3 linked regions of the Cricetulus griseus genome follow. The protein of the gene in region 3 interacts with the protein of the main gene of each other region in a biochemical or structural test. Links are inferred from orthologs where the notes say so. Each region holds a gene or a part of one and is shown on either strand. Other genes may lie near its edges.

Region 1 (4,155 bases), on a different chromosome or scaffold from region 3:
TTAATGAGGCGTTTTCAAGGTGGAATTATTTTTCTAGCCACAACAATTAAATCAAATGATTGTGGAAACAAAAGATTACTATTTGTGTGCATCTGAAATCTCCTGGCCTCTGTAAATTTAAATAAAGTGCTGTTCAAGAGGGTGTCCACTGCAATCTAATTATCAGCCTTCCTGTTTAAATACAGCCAGGAAGTGAGGATTGCATTCCACACCTACCCAGGACTATGTCTGGGAGACCCACTGTAGGCTGCAGCAGCTACTTGAGTTCATGCTGGAAAGTAATGTAGGCAGATTTTGTGGGATTCTTTTACAGAACAGTGATTGAGTCTCTGGGGACCTCTTTGAAATGTCAGTAACTCTCTCATGAAATGGCTTTTCACTAATAAGTCTTTGTAATTATATTATCAAAGACCAAGTGAAATGAAAACCAGGTTCTTAGGAGGCAGACCACAGCATGATTAGGAATCTTCTGGGAGCCAAGTTGGCAGGACAGCAAGAGAGGACAAATCAAAGGCTGTATGGGAAAGTGTTATTGGGTATAATAAGCATCAACAGTTTAGAATTGGGAAACGTATACATCCCTCTTCTAGCATAGGTGAGGGTACAAATTAGAGTAACTCTTCCTTGTGGAGGAGTACTTTTATCTACATGACTTTACCCAGTTTGCAAAACAAAAACATCCATGTGTTTATTACATTTGTCGAAGAATTACCACACTGAGGGTTTGCTTTAGATTTGACTTAAGGCTTTTTTCTCTGAAGACTTACTTAGGTTTAAGACCATAGCCTCCATATTGACAAACAGTCCTCAAATATTTAGAAAGGACTGATGGTAGCATGGGTTCTGTAAAGGAATGGACCGTGCACTGGAGAGTCCTTCCTCTTACCTCATTAGTTGGAAATACACAAAAGAATGGCATTGTTTGGCATTGTTTCTGAGATTCATGAGAAGCACAGGGGATGTTTTTCTACATAGGGCACTAATTTCCTAGAGTAATCAACACCACTGGAACCTCAGAAATTTGACATAAGAGGCATATTCCTGGGCAGTAATGTCCTGCTTCTTTAACTTTAAAAGCATACCGTTGGAGGCCCTCATCAGTTGGGAATCTTAAGGAGTGTGGACTTTGACAAGCTGCATAGTCTTCTACAGTCCGGTTCTTGTGTGGACCTGCGGTCTAGATGGAGATGTCATCTACACCCTGGACTCCTGTTCCTGACTTCACGGAATTTACTCCAAACCCCACACCCCTTGACCTTTACTGTGCAATTAACTGGACTGAGGAAACCCTGGCAGAATTCTGCTGACTCTGCAGGAGATCCAATTAGGCTCAAGTCAGCTCACAAGAAGCAGAGGGGGAGGAGTCCGCAGAGAGGCTGGCAAAGTAGTTGAAGTAAACCCCGGCCCTGAAATAGTGTAGGAAACCAGAGCTCGCCTAAAGGCAGAGACCGGATAAAATTAGAAGACGTGGAAATCCCTAACGGAGGGACTCGGGATTATAATATCTGGTCAGATCCGGTATCAGGGACCTCTGACGTCTACTTCCAGATTGGTGGTTAAACCCCCAACTTTGCTAGGTCTGGGATATACTTTTTAAAGGCAATGTGTGTTATATCTGAGCTTTGTGAGCATGGATATGAAAAATTCCGGAGTTCCGCGTGTGAGGGCCCTCACTGAAGCGTACCTGGTGTGATTAAGTACGGTGGGCTCTAGGGACAAAGCCGACGGTGGGCTCTGCACCCGTTGCTTACCTGCGGGCAGCCAGCGGCGGGCGAGCCAGCTCTGCACCGCACTCAGGTCGGCACGCGTCCTTTGCAGTTCCTCCAGCACTGCACCCAGGCCGGGCACTGTGGCCTCGGGCCGCCGCGCCTCCGCGTCCTCCAGGCGTGCCAGCCTGCGGCTCACGTCACGGCTCTCCTGCAGCAGCGGCTCCAGGACCCGCGCCAGCCTGGCGTCCGTAGGGCCCCCTGCAGCACATGGCCTCGCCATGCCGCCCGCCAGCCGGCCCAGCTCGGCCCGCAGCCGCTGCAGCTCGCCGCGGAGGACGTCGTCGGTGGCCTGCAGCAACATGCCCTCCCGCATCTGTGAGTTCTCCAGCATGATGAACAGCTTGTCCCACTCCGAATGCTCCGGGCGGCAGTCGCATGGCGTGGCTAGAGCGCGGGACACACACAACTTTACCAGCCTACCCGGCCGGTGGGTTGCACCCTCAGTGACCTCAAGTTTAAGCCTGTCCCCAACAACCCTCCTCCTTCTAAGGATAGCGCTGAAAACAGCGTGCGTATAAACTTCTCAAAAAAATTGACACAGTAACCATTCTTTACCTGCAAGTTTAACCTAACTGGAGAACTGCCATCGCTGTAGCTAAAAACAGTTCAAAAGCAGCGATTTCATCTAGTCTAACTCATTATATACGTTGCAAAAAAATTTAAAACCTCTGACTTTTCTCACTTTTACAAAACAAAATACGATTTTAGCTTGCTTCATTGGCTACTAAGTATATTATGTTATTTGCAGCCCCAAAAAGTGGGTTATGTAGTTGCCGTGACTGAGAGAGTTAAAATAAACTTACGGTCCTCGGTGGGATGAAGTCCGTTGTCTATTTCGTTGTCCAAATGCACATACATGAGCTCATAGTCATCCGAGGTCTCAGCCAACACTGCACACCAGAAAGCACAAAGAAGAATCGCAGGGAGATGCATTGCTGGAGAGACGAAGTTTGCTCCGCAGCTGCGGTAGGGGAGGAAGCGAGGCTCTCCAGTGAACCGAATTTGAGCCCGGGAGAGATAGAGTGAGGCAGGAGCGAAGCCCTTAATAAAGGCTCCAAAGCCTGAACTGGGATGAATGAGTAATGCCGGTGGCAAAGCGCGGGGGAGTTCCCCTGGATTTGGGGGAGGGGGTTGGGTGGGAGGACAAGGGAGCCGAAGAGGTTGCACAATGTTAAACCGCAAAAGTCCACACTGTAGGCAGATTAATTAGAAGGGGGGGGCGGGGAAACAGGACTTTGCTGGTCCTTATGAAGATCATTAGCCACTGAAGCCTGAATTGGTAGCACTACTGGGGGTGGAAACACAGAGGTGCAAGGCAAGTGATCGTTTTGGCACTTTGTGTGAGCTTTCACTAGTCCACAAACCCTTCCTTACGTTATAGAAAACTTTTTTTTTTCACTTTCCTTTTGGACACTTTCTCAAGTCCAAGCTATAGAAAATGATTCTGTGACTTCAAGATAACCTGACACATTAAGAATTTCTATGTTTTTAGAAGTCAAACCCATTCTGGCTTCCTTGTCTTTACTCCTCTGGAATTGCAACTAACAAATACAGTACAACTAAGTAAACCTCTAATAAAAGGGGAAACTGGGAGGGATTGGAGATATGTTGGAGATATGTTGACTTCAGGACCTTGGAGATATATATATATATATTATATATATATATATATATAATGGAGATATATATCATTGGGTGGACATATCCTATAAAACTCAGAGGCAAAGATCCTGTTTTAAATTTAAATTAGTGACTCCTGGTGTGTGTGTGTGTGTGTGTGTGTGTGTGTGTGTGAGAGAGAGAGAGAGAGAGAGAGAGAGAGCACTGAAAAATCCCACCTGCGTGAAATACCTAGATAGGTGTTGATATCATAATAGTAGTGATAAAAAACTTGAAATATTCAGATGAACTCTAAATAAAGCAACAATATACAGTGGCCAAAGTTCTAAAAGGAACAAAGCCCAGAGGGTCAGCTCCTGAGCTGATACCAGTCCCTAGTCCCCAGTCCCCAGTCCCCAGTCCCCAGATGAGATGGCTTTCCCCGACTGAATGCCACCAGACCCCTAAGAGTTTGTAAGTAGGGGCCTGCCCTCACGCATCTGGAGTGCACATCCATATACCAACCACCTTGGTAAAAATGAATTCACAGTTAAACATATCTCAACATCTGAAGGAATAGTACATCATAAATAAGAATCAACAGAAAGTCAAAAGGCATTAAGCCCCTGCTCGTGTCACTTATTTGAAATAACACCTAAAAATGAGTATGTTTGAAACCATTTTTAAGGCCTACAAGAAAGAAATGACAATATGAGACAATAGGATATTTTTTAAAGGGCAGTGTGGAAAGCTCAGTCAGTAAAGTGCTTCTCTCAGAAGGATGGCG
Region 2 (2,838 bases), about 30 Mb from region 3:
AAAAAAGCTAGACAGTGGTGGCACGGGCCCTTAATCCCAGCACTCAGGAGGCAGAGGCAGGGGATCTCAGTGAGTTTGAGGACAGCTTGGTCTACAGATAGAGTTCCAGGACAGCCAGGGGTGTTACACAGACACACCCTATCTTGAAATATATATATATATATATATATATATATATATATATATATATTTCATATATATATTTCAAGTACATATACATATTCAAGTACAATATATATATATTACATGTACATATAGTATATGTATAAATAAAAACATGTGTAATTCAGATTCTCTTTGATGAAGATTCCTAGTATGACGCACATGCTGCCAAGCCATATACTCAAATTCCATGCTCTGATGGAGAAAGGCAGAGCAGGGAAGTGAAAGACCATATTTACAGAATAGAACTACAGCATATGTTGGGGTTAAAAGGTCTATAACCAGAGACAAGGAAGAGAATGTAATCCCAGGAGGTGTCCCAGGGCTCACAACAGTAGGTCAGGGCCACAGCTGGGGCTTGATAAACACGTCACCCTGTGCATTATACTTCAGTTCCTGCCAGTTCAAAACACTGGGGCTGAGTGTCCCACCAACATAAACTGTGTTTATCTGTTCTGGAGATAGCACAATGTCCCACATGTTCACATCTCCAATGTCTCCCACCAAAGACTGCTTTGCATCAAAACCACCACCATATGAGTCCTGCTCCTGCCCCAGGATGATGCTTGCATCTGTCCCCACAGTGTAGCCCTTCTGCAGAATTCTCCGCACCTTGGGTTTCCCATCAATCCATAACTCTGAAATCCCTGTAGCAGACTCCCAGATGGCACAGATGTGTGTTGGAGCTTCAGGAATTTCTGAAGCCTTGAATAGTACTTCAGGCCCACCCACTCCAACAGTATACCCTCTATCCTTAGACCAAAATATGAGGATGTCATTAGGGTTTTTCTTGGTAGCATAAGAGAAAATACTGAAGCCACGGGTTGTGCTCAGTTCTGTGTAGATGTGGAGACACACAGTGAAGGCTTTCAGTGGCTTCTTTGTCTGTGCTTCCAGGGACACATAGGAATTGTCGGACTCTTTGGGAAATACGAAGGCCATTTTAGACATATCTGTGAGACAGAAAACCAAGAAAGTGAGTAGTTTCTCAGATAACAAAGATTCATCCCTCACGAGTAGAGTTTGGGATCAAGAGACATGTGACCTTTCCTAGGTTACACAAATATGCATCTATACCCGATGCTGTTTCTTGAATTCCATATGTAAGATATTAGGCTCTCATCCATCCCCCCCATCAGATCTTTATAATAGATCCTACCTTTCTGGGCAAAAGTCTGAGAGAGGCTGATCAGGACCAGTGAGCACCACAGGAGCTTCTCCATGGCTGTTGAAGCTGCTGGACCTGGATTTCCCCACTAAGAAGACACAGTTTTTTCTGAAAAATCAACGATGAGAGGTCCTGGATCTCTTTCCTCAGTCCCAGCCCAACGTTGGATTTATAACTATAGCAGAAGGAGAGGCTGTACCACTTTGTAAATGATTTCCTAACACTGTCTCTTGGGGCAAACGTCAGACCACTGGGAGGAAGGGAAGCCAAAATCATTCTGGAACAGAGAAATCAATGTAGGTTATTTATTACAAACTCCTGTGACCACTGAATCACCAGTTTCTTTGAGACAGGAAAAATGAGGAAGCTTCCCAAGGCTCCACTTTGCCTATCTAGGCTAAGAAAATAATGGGAAATCTTCATTTAATAGACAAGCACTCGTGTGTGTGCACACGATGCTCTCATCTCCAGCATCTGCTAAGCACTTCCGGAAGCTGTTCTCTTACACTTTGGAAAATGAAGAAAATGAGCATTCCATTCCCAGCACCAAGAACAAATCTTTCTTGGCCAACAGCGTAGACTTATCAGAGACCTTTGACAGAACGCAATGCATGCCCTAGCCCAAATGTACCACTATGTTCAATTTCATGAAACACTGTTGTTTGTTTGTTTATGTGGAAGCTTCATAGAAGAGTCAGGATGATTGGTTGTTTGCTTCTTTTGTTAAGAAATCTCATTGGCCCTCCACATAGCTTCACTATAGTTGAGCAGTTCTATAGCTCTGTACTTAACTCAGTCTTGTAGTTGAATGCTGTGTCCCTTCACCTTGCTCCTGAACCCCTTACAATCTTATCCATTCTCTCATTCCATTCATGAGTCACCCTCTAATTAAGAAATTGGAGAAGAAATACTGTATCCCCTGAAGCAGAAAACCATTCATTCAGTAAGAATACCAGTCTTAGTTTGGTGCATTCCCATCTTACCAAACACTAGATTTCTCAGTCTTAGCTACAGGCCAGAATGAGGGCTGGACAGGATAGGGACAATCTCTACATTGTGCCCTTTAAAGTGAACATATATGGCTTCCCTTTCACTTCTTCCTTCCCCTCTGGCTAGCATTCATCCACGCTGATAGGAGATAAAGCAGTCACCTTTGTCTGACAAAGGGCAAGCTGCATGTTGAGGTTGGCACAGCAACAAGATAGACTGAACCTTTAATTTTTATTATGAAGCCATAGTATCAGCCCTTGACTATCAACCTGAATATTTGCTTAACGAATATGCAGTCTTACACTCTGTTAAATCACTATGAATTTGGTCTTTTTCATATTGAAACTTGGTTGACACCACTTTATATTTTTACACTGTAAAATCTACCAGCCTTCCTGCCTCCCCTATAAGAAATAAACAATTTCTCTATATATCTTAGGTCAACCTTGCACCTTTGCCACAGGTCCAGATGGTCCATCACCTAATGAACTTTGCTCCCATGTGCTTCTTTCTGCATT
Region 3 (3,659 bases):
TGTTTGTATGTGTCAGTTCTATGTATAGTGGTATTGGAAGGAATGTTAACAAGGAAGATGTGCCATCACAGAAGAGGTGGACAGTGCTTCCTAAGAAGAATTTCTTTTGTCTCGAATATCTTAAGCTGATTCAACCCTGAATAAAACTTGACACTGAAATGTCTGACAAATCATGAGTGACAAAGAAATTTTAAAAAAAAGGAAATAAGAATCTCAGAAACAGCATTTCCGGGTGTGTGCACTTAGAAGTTTAACACTTGGTGACAAATGAACAACTGAAACACTACTACTCCCATGAGCAGGTAAAGTCAGTAGACTATGCATCATATTAAAAAACAGAAATGTAAGAGTAAAAGTAGATTTTAAGACAATCAATCCAACTAATAATAGCAGGATAGATCAATTTATGCAAATATAAACTTGTGGTAAATGATTATATGTGCCAGTCTAAACCATTCTTTCTCCTGGCTTTGATGAGAGTAGATTATTGGTAAAGACTTGTTCTAAAACCAGAATTGAATTTTCATGCTTCTCTCACCAACACAACGAGGTGGAGAGCTCCACTTTCCCATGTGGCAGGTTACACCATGATCCTCAGCCATCATAAAACCATCATCACAAACATAGTTGAGTGTAATGCCGTGTTCATGACGTCTGGAAAAATCTGTTTCTCTCCTTTCTTCTGATGATCGTGGTAATATAATTCGTCCATGGTCTATTTCAGGAGGCTCAGAACATGGAATTTTTGCTATATGAAGAACACAAATGAAACAGTGATGCATAAATAAAAAGTTTATACTGGATAACAGAAACAAACTGTTTGGTTTATATCTTAAGCCCTAGCTTTTAAATATGCCGTCACTTGAGTTCTCTAGAGTACTTAAAACAATAATGTTGTAAAATAAGTCATAGCTACTGACCAATGCATCGTGGCAATGACTGCCACCTTCCATTTTTGCACACCATTTCTTCTGTGTTCTGTATTAGGTAATTGTCTTGACAAAGAACAGATACTTTTTCTCCATCCCAGTATTTCACTGTGGTTTGCATCTCTTGGGCATTTGGAATCTGCGGTGGAGGAGGGCAGGATCCTTTGTCTGCTCCCAAAATACATCAGAAACCAGAATTCTTGACTAAATACAGTATCTAAATTATTGAAGTAATGATTATCATTAAATGACAAATTACTTATGACTGTATAATAGTTATGTAGATTTTATAGTTTTCACCTTATATAGCAGTTTAGTAATTATTCTTGTCCTTTGAATTGTTCTCATTTGTTTTTTAAAGCAGTTTTGCAGTGTTTCTATCAAACTTATTTTAATTTATTCTAGTCTTTATGATGTTTTAAATGAATTATAATCTGAAATATATTAAATTAAGGTTACATAGAGTAGGAAAATTAAACTTTTCCAGGGATGGGTGAGCCAACAAATAGGTTATCCAATCTCAAGTTCTTAGTGCTAATCATATATCTATAGGAAAAACAATAAATGGACACATCAGGATGAATTTATATATACAAGATATATATATATATGTATGTATATATATGCATGTAAATGTATGCATAGTGTGTGTGTGTGTGTGTGTGTGTGTGTGTGTGTGTGTGTGTAAGAAGAGGTCATGAATTGGACAGAAAGTACAGGGGACTCAGAGTTGTTCAAGTGGAAGAGGGAGAGTTGGAAATGATAAAAATGCAGAATTCACATAAGAAATTCTCAACAAAATTTACTGTGGTTTAAGAGCTCAAGGCTACTACTATCACAGGTAAGTAAATACTAGAATAACCACTAGAGGACAGTGCAAACAAGAGCTTACTTGTACAGGTTGGCTCAGGATCCCATCTTCCATTGATGCAGATTGAGTGTTTATACTCCTGCTTTCCTCTACATTTGTAACTCACACTGACATTATGATTAAATTCATTCCTATTGGGTTGAATTGCTTCCTTATCCTTTGCCTTTGGTGCTTTACACTTCTCCAATTGATCTGTTGCTATGTGAAAATAATTCCAGGAAAAATAAAATCAATTTCAAGAAATGAGCTACCTGCTAAGTTAAAATAGCTATACAATCAATGTACAAATGAAACTATTATTTATACCTATAAATTCTGCCAAATAAAATGATAAGGTCACCATACAGACTGGTCTATGATGTGAGAACTATGATGTCCAGTCTTTTACGTCTCAGAGACAGTATGTATCATAAAGGGATATGCGTACTTGAAACCTACAAGAGCAAAGTAAATCACTGTCTCAGATACTCTACATAGGAAATGACATGACCAGCTTTGGTCCCATGCTTGAAAGCTGTGAAATGTTCACATTTGTTGCTCTCCCCTTATCTTAATTTTAGTCCATAATGTCAAAAATACTAAAAGTAAAATATGAGCAGATAGATTATTAAAAATTTGCTAGATTGAATTTTCTTTTTTGATAGATGTGTTGTTACAAAAAGAATATCAAAGTTATACTGTGTTTTAAACAGTTGTTTAATTGCTAGTATTGGTATAAGATATTAGATAGTTGTAGTCACTGTCACTCTCCTTCATATTCCATTTGTAAGACTCCATAAGAAATTATTTCCTATGCTATAGATCATCCAATAATACAACAATATTATGTCATAATAATAAAACTGGTTGTGTTATGACTTAAGTAAGGGCTATGTATACACCTTTCAATGTGTTATGTGTTGTAATTTCTAACGGACAATGAGAGTCCTTTTTGAATCTGAGAAAATTTCAGTATGGGTCCTGGATACATTTGCTAATAATTTGAAATGAAGAGTCAAATGTATATGGTTAGAGTAAATAAAAGCAAGTGATTAGCCAAAGTACTATAACTTTCTTCGAAAACAATATTTAAAATATTGACTAGAGTAATTAAAAATCTCAAGACACCTGAGAAGGACCAATAGTCATGGGGGCATGGGAACTATGTGATTGATTTGTTTCATAAGAATCTCTTATTTGTGATGAGAAAGCTATAGGTATGGAGAATAATAAGAATATATAGTGGAGGGATAAATATGTTTGTACTGTAAGCTTAACATTGCAGCACAAGGTTATGATAACTGAGGAAAGTCATATGAAGGTCACTATAGGCAGATCAATCAACAGAATAAAATCTCAGAAAATTGAACAAATAATAAAACATAATTTTGTAACAGAATGGAAAATTGTTTTCATTCCTGATATGTCTGAATTTTCTCCCATATGAAATTGTTTGTTAAACAGCTTCAAAAATACTTCTGTGACTGAATTGGTCCCTGAAGACTCTGGGATCCTGTCTCTGCTGAGATCGCTGGGCCATTCCGGCCCCCACTGAGTGCGGAGAGTCCAGAGGTGAGCTGATTTGGCTCCTAACTTGAGCTCAACTTCCACCTGCCCGCCCTGGCAAATCCTGCCCAGGGATCTGCAGACTGACTGAATCAGTCCCTGAGGCCCCTGGGATCCTGACTCTGCTGAGTTCGCTGGGCTATTCCAGCCCCCACAGAGTGCAGAGAGTGCAGAGGAGAGCTGCTTCAGCCCTTGTCTTGGGCCCAACTTCCATCTGCCCACCCTGCAAACCCTGCCCAGGGATCTTCAACAGGACGACTCGAACCCTGAGGACCAACCAATCCAGAGTCAGCTGACATCTCTGTACCAGTGCT

What was found.
Region 1: the proteins of complement factor H (region 3) and Ptx3 form a complex in vitro, tested with the Homo sapiens proteins (3 studies listed by IntAct, with this or other methods). The link is inferred for Cricetulus griseus from reciprocal best matches to the Homo sapiens genes CFH and PTX3.
Region 2: the proteins of complement factor H (region 3) and Crp form a complex in vitro, tested with the Homo sapiens proteins (12 studies listed by BioGRID and IntAct, with this or other methods). The link is inferred for Cricetulus griseus from reciprocal best matches to the Homo sapiens genes CFH and CRP.

The regions. Positions count from the first base shown.
Region 1 is NW_023276806.1:86,731,566-86,735,720, forward strand, and holds the start of Ptx3 (pentraxin-related protein PTX3), read right to left. Parts: upstream 2,886-4,155; 5' UTR 2,703-2,885; coding exon 2,573-2,702; intron 2,154-2,572; coding exon 1,752-2,153; intron 1-1,751.
Region 2 is NC_048598.1:20,185,381-20,188,218, forward strand, and holds Crp (C-reactive protein), read right to left. Parts: upstream 1,386-2,838; coding exon 1,322-1,385; intron 1,116-1,321; coding exon 502-1,115; downstream 1-501. UniProt on the Homo sapiens protein: Displays several functions associated with host defense: it promotes agglutination, bacterial capsular swelling, phagocytosis and complement fixation through its calcium-dependent binding to phosphorylcholine.
Region 3 is NC_048598.1:49,695,556-49,699,214, reverse strand, and holds part of complement factor H, read right to left. Parts: intron 1,999-3,659; coding exon 1,822-1,998; intron 1,098-1,821; coding exon 921-1,097; intron 749-920; coding exon 539-748; intron 1-538. UniProt on the Homo sapiens protein: Glycoprotein that plays an essential role in maintaining a well-balanced immune response by modulating complement activation.